Linked DNA regions of Kluyveromyces lactis. The protein of the gene in region 2 purifies or fractionates together with the protein of the main gene of each other region. This does not show direct contact. Links are inferred from orthologs where the notes say so. Each region holds a gene or a part of one and is shown on either strand. Other genes may lie near its edges.

The links. The genes of interacting proteins can lie anywhere in the genome.
Region 1: the proteins of NMD3 (region 2) and RPP0 purify together in Saccharomyces cerevisiae (affinity purification with mass spectrometry; 4 studies listed by BioGRID, with this or other methods). This does not show direct contact. The link is inferred for Kluyveromyces lactis from reciprocal best matches to the Saccharomyces cerevisiae genes NMD3 and RPP0.

What each region holds. Positions count from the first base shown.
Region 1 is NC_006038.1:531,029-535,349, reverse strand, and holds RPP0 (60S ribosomal protein uL10), read left to right. Parts: upstream 1-1,343; coding exon 1,344-2,279; downstream 2,280-4,321. Other genes in the region: ribonuclease P/MRP protein subunit POP6, read right to left, coding at 210-671; KLLA0_B05885g (uncharacterized protein), read left to right, coding at 2,612-4,321. UniProt on the Saccharomyces cerevisiae protein: Component of the ribosome, a large ribonucleoprotein complex responsible for the synthesis of proteins in the cell.
Region 2 is NC_006037.1:457,876-464,465, reverse strand, and holds NMD3 (ribosome-binding protein NMD3), read left to right. Parts: upstream 1-3,348; coding exon 3,349-4,893; downstream 4,894-6,590. Other genes in the region: putative GTPase MTG2, read left to right, coding at 1-706; ATP-dependent RNA helicase DBP8, read left to right, coding at 992-2,299; NOP19 (Nop19p), read left to right, coding at 2,500-3,093; ATG7 (Atg7p), read left to right, coding at 5,215-6,590. UniProt on the Saccharomyces cerevisiae protein: Acts as an adapter for the XPO1/CRM1-mediated export of the 60S ribosomal subunit. Unlikely to play a significant role in nonsense-mediated mRNA decay (NMD).

The sequences.
Region 1 (4,321 bases), on a different chromosome or scaffold from region 2:
AAGGTAAGCTTGCTTGCCTAATACAGATGAAATATAGGTCGAACATGGCAATTGCGATATTGTAGCTATTTACCAAATAAATTGGGTACGATATTTTTTTTGACGATCGGAATTTGTTCACTGTCCGCCCTGACGGATCACAAAGGTATATACAATATGTTTTGACTGGAAGCGTTATCAGTATACTTTAAATTGTGTCAACGTTGAAGTTACGATTGTTTTGTGAATTTATTAAGGCTTTTGACTTCTTGTTTAGTGAATAAGGTAATAAGTATAGGCAAGTTGACTTTTCTATCCAATAGTTCATTACGTCCAGCCTTGATTTCAATAAACGAGTCTAGTTTATTAAATTGATGTAGTGCTTTCCCGTTTTCAGTAGTCTTGAAGATCTCTATTATCGAAAGTGCTTTTTGTACATGAACTCCATAAGCAACAAGTACGAATGTATCAGCAGTGATAGCTGCGAGTTGATCCACACATTGTTTAATATTGGAGTTTTTACTGTACGAAATAATTGCTCCTACAGATGTCTCAGACGCATTGTTCCAACCTGCACTTCGCAGGGTTTCTGGGATGATTTTTTCTTTGATGTAGGTCGAACATTCTACGTAGGTGGAAGGATCTATGCCTTCTACTTCAATTTCGTTATATTTTAGTTTGGAAGAAGCCATCGTTGTTGCTTTGTAGCTAATTACTCAACTAAGGCGAGTTTCTCATCGATTGAATTATCAATACTCAATGCTACGATAACTTGGGAAGTTATTGTAGATTTCTTTTCGACGAGATGGGATGAGCATTGATACGATGAAAGCTATTCTGCGGACTGTTTACACCCTTACATATGTAAAAAATGTCAACACAACACCCATGCACCTTGATAAAACTCCAAAGGAATTAATTTCCTCTTTGACTAGTGGTCACGTGCATTTAAACAATGCAAACCCGTTGTATTAAGCAATACAACGTTAAAGTATTAACAAGTCCGGCATATGGATTGAATCCTCAGCACCAGATGGTTTTCAAGCGTAGAGGGTACATCCTGATACCATTCACTCAAGCTCCTTCTTTTTTATAATATACCATATGAGTTACACCTATTTCTGTATGATTAACGGATGCTTGTTTGTTTTTCATGTGGGCCTTAATTTGGAAATTGGAAAATCTCAAATTTTTCATCGCTGAGGGAAACCAAACTTGAAAAATATTGAATTTTATGATAAAACGTCCTTTACATATGAATATACATAATTGGATGTTAAGTACTTGATTAGATTTGTAGTTTGTATATAGTTTACAAGAACCACAGGTACTACCTTAAACATCCTATCACTAAAAAAGTCGAAATGGGGGGCGTCCGTGAAAAGAAAGCTGAATACTTTGCCAAGCTAAGAGAATACTTGGAAGAATACAAGTCTGTCTTCGTTGTTGGTGTTGACAATGTGTCTTCCCAACAAATGCACGAAGTCAGAAAGAACTTGAGAGGCAGAGCTGTTGTCTTGATGGGTAAGAACACCATGGTCAGAAGAGCTGTCAGAGGTTTCATCTCTGACTTCCCAGACTACGAAAAGTTGTTGCCTTTCGTCAAGGGTAACGTTGGTTTCATCTTCACCAACGATTCCTTGCAAGATATCAAGGAAGTCATCATCGCCAACAAGGTTGCCGCTCCAGCCAGAGCTGGTGCTGTTGCCCCAGAAGATATCTGGGTTCTCGCCGTCAACACCGGTATGGAACCAGGTAAGACTTCTTTCTTCCAAGCTTTGGGTGTTCCAACCAAGATTGCCAGAGGTACCATTGAAATTGTCTCTGACGTTAAGGTCGTTGACGCTGGTAAGAGAGTCGGTGCTTCTGAAGCTTCTTTGTTGAACTTGTTGAACATTTCTCCATTCACCTACGGTTTGACCGTCGTTCAAGTTTACGACAACGGTCAAGTCTTCCCAGCTTCCATCTTGGATATCACTGACGATGAATTGATCTCTCACTTCATCTCTGCTGTCAACACCATTGCTTGTGTTTCCTTGGCTGCTGGTTACCCAACCTTGCCATCTGTCGGTCACTCTTTGATCAACAACTACAAGGACTTGTTGGCTGTCGCTATCGCTGCTGACTACATCTACCCAGAAATTGAAGAATTGAAGGACAGAATTGAGAACCCAGATGCTTACGCTTCTGCTGCCCCAGTTGCTGCTGCTTCCGGCTCTTCCGAAGCTGCTGCTGAAGAAGCTCCAGCTGAAGAAGAAGAAGAATCTGATGACGACATGGGTTTCGGTTTGTTCGATTAAACACCTTATAATTATGGAAACAATAACAATTAAATTTTAAATTCACATATCGGTTTCAGATGATCAATCTGTATCTATAAGTTTAGTTAGTCTTTATTAATTTCTATCTTAAGCGCACAAATCTTATCGCATCAAATTATCGTGTCTTCATGGCGACAATTTATTTGTTTTTTGCCTGTCTAAGCGGTCCGCTCCATAGTAGTGTAGGTCAGATTATTGCTAATATTTGAAGAAAAACTGACGTCGGACACAAACTAGATTACCGTTCACTAACAGTTTGGTCAAAGTTGATGGCATAGCTTAGCAACTAGCACACAGGCGGTCTGATTAAGATGTCTTTATCGGTGAGGAGTCAAAGTCAAGATAATAAAGTCCTCTCAGATCTGTCTGAGAAGAAGTCATTTTTCAAACCTTTCCAGCAAGATAAGGATCTTGATGATAATCTAGTTTCTTTCGACCATGAAAGAGAATTCGTACAAGATCCTACTATTGGATCTAGTATCAAATTGGATGGTTCAGATGTGATAAAGTTTTCAGTTCGTGTTGACGAATCTTTCAGACTAATTTACGATAAAAATAATAATGCTTTAAAAGATGGTTCCAACACTCAAAATAAAAGTGAAGAGGCAGACAGTGAGAATATAGATATCATCGAAGGGGAGTTTTACTGGAAAAAGCTCAATAGATTGCTTGATGAGGACATTCTTCATGTATTCGAACCAAGAACTTCACATTTCATAGATTTCATTAATTGCCTCGGTGATGTCCCTGATTTATCAGATACAGAGTCATCAAGTGGATTCCTAGTTAACGAAGAAGATATAGTAGGCAAACACAAAGAATACGACATTGAGAACAGTTTAGCAGATCTTGGTGAGGTCATTTTGCAATGGGATATGGTATTAGGTATCTTTCAAAAGGTTAAAGATTTGGACATTGAAATGGATGTACTAGAAAAAAGTATAGACCTAGTAGCGAGATTTGTAAACGCTTCCCCAGATAATACTCTCTCAGTACTACTCAAAAAAGCTAAAGAGGAAATTGATAATTCTGAATGTAAATTTGTTGAAGGGAGGGGCAATTGTTTGGCATCTATCTTAGTACTTCAAACTGTTTCCCAAGTGCCACAACAATTGTTGAAAAGTCTTTTCTTTGAAGTTCAGGGCCAGAATCTATCATTATTGGAATTGAAACATTTGAAAGTCAGTTACAGTTTTTTGTTGGTGTACCATATGAATATGACGTTGTTGAGGAAGATTTTCGAAACATGTCTAAGTATGGGTTGTTCTTCTCAGAACGTATTACCATGCCTTGAAGGATTTATCTGGAATGCCATAGAGATGGACAAATCTGATCTAATAATGAGGATGGAAGAAGCATTTTGGAAATGGAATCAAAATGACAGATTTATTGGGCAAGAAAAAGTTCAATCTTGGTGCATCGAATTAATAACAAAGATGGAGACACAATTTAATAAAGATGCTGATAAGTGCAACGATGAGGATGCGTTAATGAATATCAAGGACAAGTACAATCTTGCCAAATTGTTCATAAATGAATTCAACGACATGTTATTTTCTACCCGTGGTGTTAACATGAACACTTTAGCAACTCGGGAATATACTGATATATTGACCAGATTTGCTAATAGCTTAGAGACAAGAATGTCAGGATTGTTTCAAAGAGATTTGTATAGTTTACAAAGATCCATATCTTTTTTGCTAACAGAATCTGAGTTCGAAAGCTCTGTGAAATCACTGAACGTCACTCTGATTGTAGATGCAATATCTAAACCATCCATGGACCCGTCCTCAATTGTTGCCAATCCCGGTACAATAGTAGAACGTGTATCAACATCTTTGTCGACTAGAGAGGCACAAGAGGTGGAAACTAACCAAAACCAGGAATTGATCCTAACTGAAGAAAATGCTACTCAAAGAGCTATAATAGAATGCGACACTATGCGATATGATGGATCGGTTTACTTTCAACCAAAACCTGTTGGGTGGATAGAATATTTAACTACCATGCCCGACAACGGA
Region 2 (6,590 bases):
TAGATTCCCATTATATGGATTGGATTTGAGTAAACCAACTGAGAAACCAATCTGTTTGCTAAAGGGTGGTAAAGGGGGTCTAGGTAATATGCATTTCTTAACCAGCTTGATCAGAAACCCAAGATTTTGTAAAGAGGGTAGGAGTGGACTTCAACAACATTTTATGTTTGAATTGAAAAGTATTGCTGATCTGGGACTTGTTGGACTACCAAATGCCGGGAAATCTACTATTTTAAACCAGATTTCTAATGCTACTCCTAGAGTAGGCCATTGGGAATTCACTACGTTACACCCAACGATTGGAACAATCTCACTTGGGATTGACAAACCGAAGTTCACAGTTGCAGATATTCCGGGAATTATTAAAGATGCCTCTCAGGACAAGGGAATGGGTCTTGAATTTTTAAGACACATTGAACGTTCCAAAGGTTGGGTTTTCGTGATCAGTCTTGAAAAGGATGATCCATCTCAAGATTTACAAATACTTATTGAAGAAGTGGGTGGCAAAGAGGTTGTATCATTGAAGAATATTCTAGTGGTTTGTAATAAAGCTGATATCGATGAGAAATCTACATTTAAGAAGTATCAGAAAATCCAAGCCCAATGCCAAGAAAACAACTGGGATGTCGTACCAATAAGTGCTCTCAAAGGAGAAAATATTGATGTACTCCTGCATAAAATGGCACAATGTGCTGGTAAACTGTAGATATAACACGAATAAGCGGCACATCCTTACTGGACGTCATGCTCTACTTCTTTTTCTAAGTTCCGATGTTCGAATATTGTTCCGAAATCCAATATTTTGGGCCCCCAAAATCCCATATTGGTGCATATTTGAATGAAAAAAGAAAACGGAAAGAGTCTTTAACATGTAAAATTTCTATACAGATGCGATGAGATGTGCTTTGACCTAAAGGCTGTGGTTAGTAGGAGTAACTTGTATATAAACCTCGCCAAGAGTACCTAAGAACTATAATATCTATATTAAGAGATGTCTAATTCTGAGTTCAAGTCCTTAGGATGTTCAAAATGGTTAGTGGAAGCATTAAATGCGATGAAAATCGTGCAGCCCACTGCGATTCAAAAGGCTTGTATTCCTGAGATTTTGAAAGGGCGTGACTGTATAGGTGGTGCCAACACCGGTAGTGGTAAGACTATTGCTTTTGCAGCTCCGATGTTGACCAAATGGTCCGAGGACCCTCAAGGTATGTTTGGGATCGTCTTAACACCTACCAGAGAACTTGCGATGCAGATCGCAGAGCAGTTCACAGCATTTGGAAGTGCTATGAACATCAGAGTCGCAATAGTAGTTGGTGGTGAGAGCATAGTGCAACAAGCTATCGAATTACAGAAACGACCACATTTCATAATAGCCACACCAGGTAGATTAGCACACCATGTCCTGAATAGCGGGGAAGATACCATTGGAGGGCTAAAAAGAGTAAAATTTCTGGTACTAGATGAAGCCGATATATTATTGACGGAAACGTTCAGTAAGGACCTTGCTACATGTGTAAGTATTTTACCACCGAAAAACAAAAGACAGAATCTCCTTTTCACTGCTACTATGACAGACCAAGTGAAAGCTTTATCAGACGCTCCACAGACGGAGGGCAAACCTCCTGTGTTTACTTTTGAGGTTGAGTCTGTTGATAACGTCGCCATTCCGAAGACATTAGAGACGACATATTTGCTAGTCCCAGAGCACGTTAAAGAGTCATACTTATACCAGATATTGACCAGTGAGAAATACGTCAAATCAAGTTGCATTATTTTCGTTAATCGTACCGTAACGGCTGAAATCTTAAGAAGAACTTTGAAATCTTTAGATGTAAGAGTCACGTCACTTCATAGTCAAATGCCACAACAAGAAAGAACGAACTCTGTACAAAGATTCAGGGCACAAGCTGCGAGAGTTCTTATCGCTACTGATGTCGCTTCTAGAGGTTTGGATATCCCTATTGTTGAACTTGTTGTAAACTATGATATTCCTGGCAACCCAGATACTTTCATTCATAGAGCTGGTCGTACAGCGCGTGCCGGACGCCATGGTGAATCACTATGTTTTGTAACAGAAAAGGATATTCAAAGAGTAGAGGCAATTGAGGAAAGGATTAATAAAAAGATGGAAGAGTTCACCGATGTAGGTGATACAGCCGTGATTAGGAAGTCGTTAACTAAGGTTACAGCAGCAAAAAGAGAAAGTCTCATGGCCATGGATAAAGAAGGTTTTGGTGAAAGAAGGAAACTCCAAAAGAGAAAGAATGAATCCAAAGAAAAGACTCATAGACGTACATAAACTCACATAGTTGATAGACCTATCCACATATTCCATTTAAAAATCAGTCACGTGAATTCTGATTCTTCCTTAGAGAGTAATCACTGAAAAAAAAATGGTAACTTATTCTTTGAAGCGATGAGATCGAACCAGATGAGATGCATCGGCCGCCATAAAGGTATACTCTTACAATCTAACAAGTAATACAGACTCACCAAGCCATGTCAAGAGCTCAGGAGATAAAAGAAAAGCAAGCACTACTTGCTAAATTTCAAAATGGGTTTAGCAGTTCCACTGCTAAGGTGCTCGGATGGATAGAGGATTCTAAGACGTCATCTAATGATCTAGCAAAGGAGGATAGCAACGAATCAAAGAAGGAATTTTTCCAGTTGCCTGTCATTCAAATAGGAAGCGGTTTATCATTTGAGAACGCGCAAAGTACTGATGATACCGATATACATACCATTGGAGAGTTCATCAAAAGTGATAAGAAGGTCAGCTCTTTAGCCAAAAAGAAAAGAGCTACCAAGGACGTGCAACAGAGAAACAGTATACACAGAGTGAGGAAAGACGACTCCCAGGCTATGGTTTCGTTAAAACATAAGATAAGGAATCAGGAAAGACAGAAGATACGTAACGAGCTTCCGAGAGGCACAAATGTTTCGAAAGACCACAGTAAAAACCAATATTATACCAAATCGACTTCATCGCATTCCGACTCTTCCTCGGATGAAGAAGATATGGAACCTAAAGTACAAAAACATTCCAAGAAACAATTTGGCTTGCTATTTGCTGGAAAGAAATCCAAACGTTGAACGTGTTAATCATTCTTTATAAAGTGTAATTCTCCTGTATATAGACTAGCTTAATATGCATAGATGCATAAATCCAAGGTTCAAAGTCACGTGCAAAATTTCTTTTTCTTGAGGGTTCGCAGTCTCTTTTAAGAAAAATTTTGAGAAAGCTCATCTCATCGCATCTTGTTCTTGCACAGTCTGATAGTGCTTGAAAGCTGATTAATGTCTGCATTATAGGTATTCCAGCAAGGGCAGAAGTATCCACCGAACTCGATGAATTACACTCCGTTAGATCAGAATCACATGCAACATCAGCATGCTACAGTGCTATGTTGCAGTTGTGGTGTGCCTATGGATGGGTCCTCAGGGCTAGTTATGTGTTACGACTGTATTAAGTTGAATGTCGATATTACAGAAGGTATTCCCAGAGAGGCTAATGTTTCTTTCTGTAGAAACTGTGAGAGGTTCTTGCAACCACCAAGCCAATGGATTAGGGCTTCTTTGGAATCTCGTGAACTTTTGGCGTTGTGTTTACGTCGTTTGAAAGGCTTAAACAAAGTTCGATTAGTGGATGCATCATTTATCTGGACCGAACCTCATTCTAGACGTATCCGGGTCAAATTGACCGTTCAAGGTGAAGCTATGGCTAACACTATTATCCAGCAAACATTTGAAGTGGAATATGTGGTGATTGCCATGCAATGTCCGGACTGTGCTAGATCTTATACCACTAATACATGGAGAGCAAACGTCCAAATTAGACAAAAAGTTCCTCATAAGAGAACTTTCTTGTATTTAGAACAGTTGATTTTGAAGCACAATGCCCATGTTGACACCATTTCCATTAGTGAGGCAAAGGATGGTTTAGATTTCTTCTATTCTCAAAAGAACCATGCTGCTAAGATGTTGGATTTCTTAAATGCTGTCGTACCTATCAAATGTAAAAAATCCGAGGAGTTAATCTCTCAAGATATCCATACCGGTTCATCTACTTACAAATTCACTTTTTCCGTGGAAATTGTTCCAATTTGTAGAGATGATTTGGTTGTTTTACCTAAGAAGCTTGCCAAGTCTTTGGGTAACATCAGTCAATTTGTCATCTGTTCCAAGGTTTCTAACTCTCTCCAGTTCCTGGATCCAACCACTCTTCAAACGTGTGATTTGACTGCTCCAATGTACTGGCGTGAACCTTTCAGTGCATTAGCTGAAGTGTCCCAACTAGTTGAATTCATCATATTGGACGTTGAACCTACTGGTCAAGTTAGAAACAAATGGGTATTGGCTGACGTTACTGTCGCTAGATCTTCCGATCTAGGCTCCAATGACCAAGTCTATTACGTTAGAACACATCTTGGTGGTATTATTCATCCTGGTGACAGTGTCATGGGTTACTTTATCGCTAACTCTAACTATAACTCAGAGCTCTTCGATGGTTTAAATATTGATTACGTGCCAGACATCGTTCTAATCAAGAAACTATATCAAAGAAAGACAAAGAAGAACAGAAAATGGAAGTTGAAGAGAATGGCTAAGGAACACAAGGATATCGAAGCTTCTCAAGACTACACTTCAAGACAACAGAAACAAGAAATGGAACGTGCTGAAAGAGATTATGAGATTTTCCTACAAGAATTGGAGGAAGATGAGGAAATGAGACAAACAATCAATCTATATAAGAGCAACAAACCAGCAGAGCACGAAGGCGAGATGGAAGAAGATGAAGATGAAGATGCTCCACAAATTGATATTGATGAACTATTAGATGAGTTGGATGAGATGACTTTAGAAGATCAACAACAAGGTGAAGAAATGCTATAGAATTTGGTTTAGTCTCTTCTTGTTTGGACAATAATTACAATATATATTTACGAGATAGGCAAGTTAGTTGAATTTACTCATCATCTGCATTAGATCAATGATACAATGGCCGTCTTGTATAGTGTACACTAGTGAATATTAATAATTGGCATGTTTCAGGGTAACAATGCTTTCCTGAGTTTAGTTCATTCTTGTAAAAAAGACGTCGATTCGTAATACTACCCTGATACACTATACCCTTAACTGCAGTGCATAGATAAATAAAGTAAACCAAGAAGTACTATTCTTTCTTCATGGAACAAAACCTGAGTACCAGGAAAGATGCTTAACGATCTTAAGTTTTCACCAGCTTTTAAGTCTTTTGTTGATACCTCGTTTTTCCATGAATTATCAAGATTAAAACTTGAAGTGTTCAAGTTAGACTCTGCTGAGAAAGAATTGTTCTCTGCACTAGACCTTGAAAATATCACTTCTAACACTGTTTCACTCTCGCTTAGAGATGACAGTTTCGATCCTGTTCTCAATAATGAGGCAGTGACTTTGAAAGGGTCAGTGTTGAATTTTAATACTATCGAATCATTCAAATCCTGTGACAAAGTAAAGTTTATCAAGGAAAAGGGACAGCAATTACTAGAACAGGGCCTCAAGAATGGTCTCAAAGAGTGTGTTAGGTTTTATGTCATAAGCTTCGCCGATTTGAAGAAATATAAGTTTTATTATTGGGTTTGTATGCCTACTTTCCAGTCTGAGGGGTCATCGTACGAAATAATCTCAACAAAATCAATCGAAGATGGTGTAAAGAAGGATATATGGGAGCAGAACAGCTTTATCTCCTGTGTTGTGGATGGAAAGATTCAGGAAGCATCACCTCAGTATCTCAAAGTATGTCAGAAAGTCATCTTCAAGGACTTCAGTCGGCTGAAGGGCATTCCTGCCGCAGTTACTAAGAACTTTCTAACGGTTTGGAGTCAAATATCCACAAGGAATACGTACACCATATGTTTCCTTCGTGATGATAATTCCAGCTTCGCGGCAGAGATCAGAGTTACCGGGAGCAATACAGGATGTCTTAAGGTCAGCGGTTGGGAGAAAAATGGTCTTGGAAAATTAGCTCCGAAATCGGCTGACTTAAGCTCATTGATGGATCCCGTGAAGATAGCAGAACAATCCATTGATCTCAATCTCAAGCTAATGAAATGGAGGATTGCTCCTGACATTGATCTAGAAAGAATAAAGAACATTAAAGCATTGATCTTGGGGTCAGGTACCCTAGGTTGCTACGTGGCTAGAGCTTTATTAGCTTGGGGTACTCGTCATGTAACTTTTGTCGACAACAGCACTGTCTCTTTCTCTAATCCGGTAAGGCAACCATTATTCAACTTTGAAGATTGTGGGCGACCAAAGGCCGAAGCTGCCAGTGACTCTCTGAAGAAGATATTTCCTTCTGTCGTTTCTGCAGGTTATCAATTGGAAATACCAATGATAGGACATCCTGTATCGAACGAAAGCAAGCAGAGGAAGGATTATGAAATTTTGGACGAGCTTATAAGGACGCATGATGTTATATTTCTTTTAATGGATGCACGCGAGACGAGATGGCTTCCCTCGGTGCTTGGACGAATGCATGAAAAAATAGTTATTAATGCGGCCCTTGGTTTTGACAGTTATTTGGTAATGAGACATGGCAACAATAATGA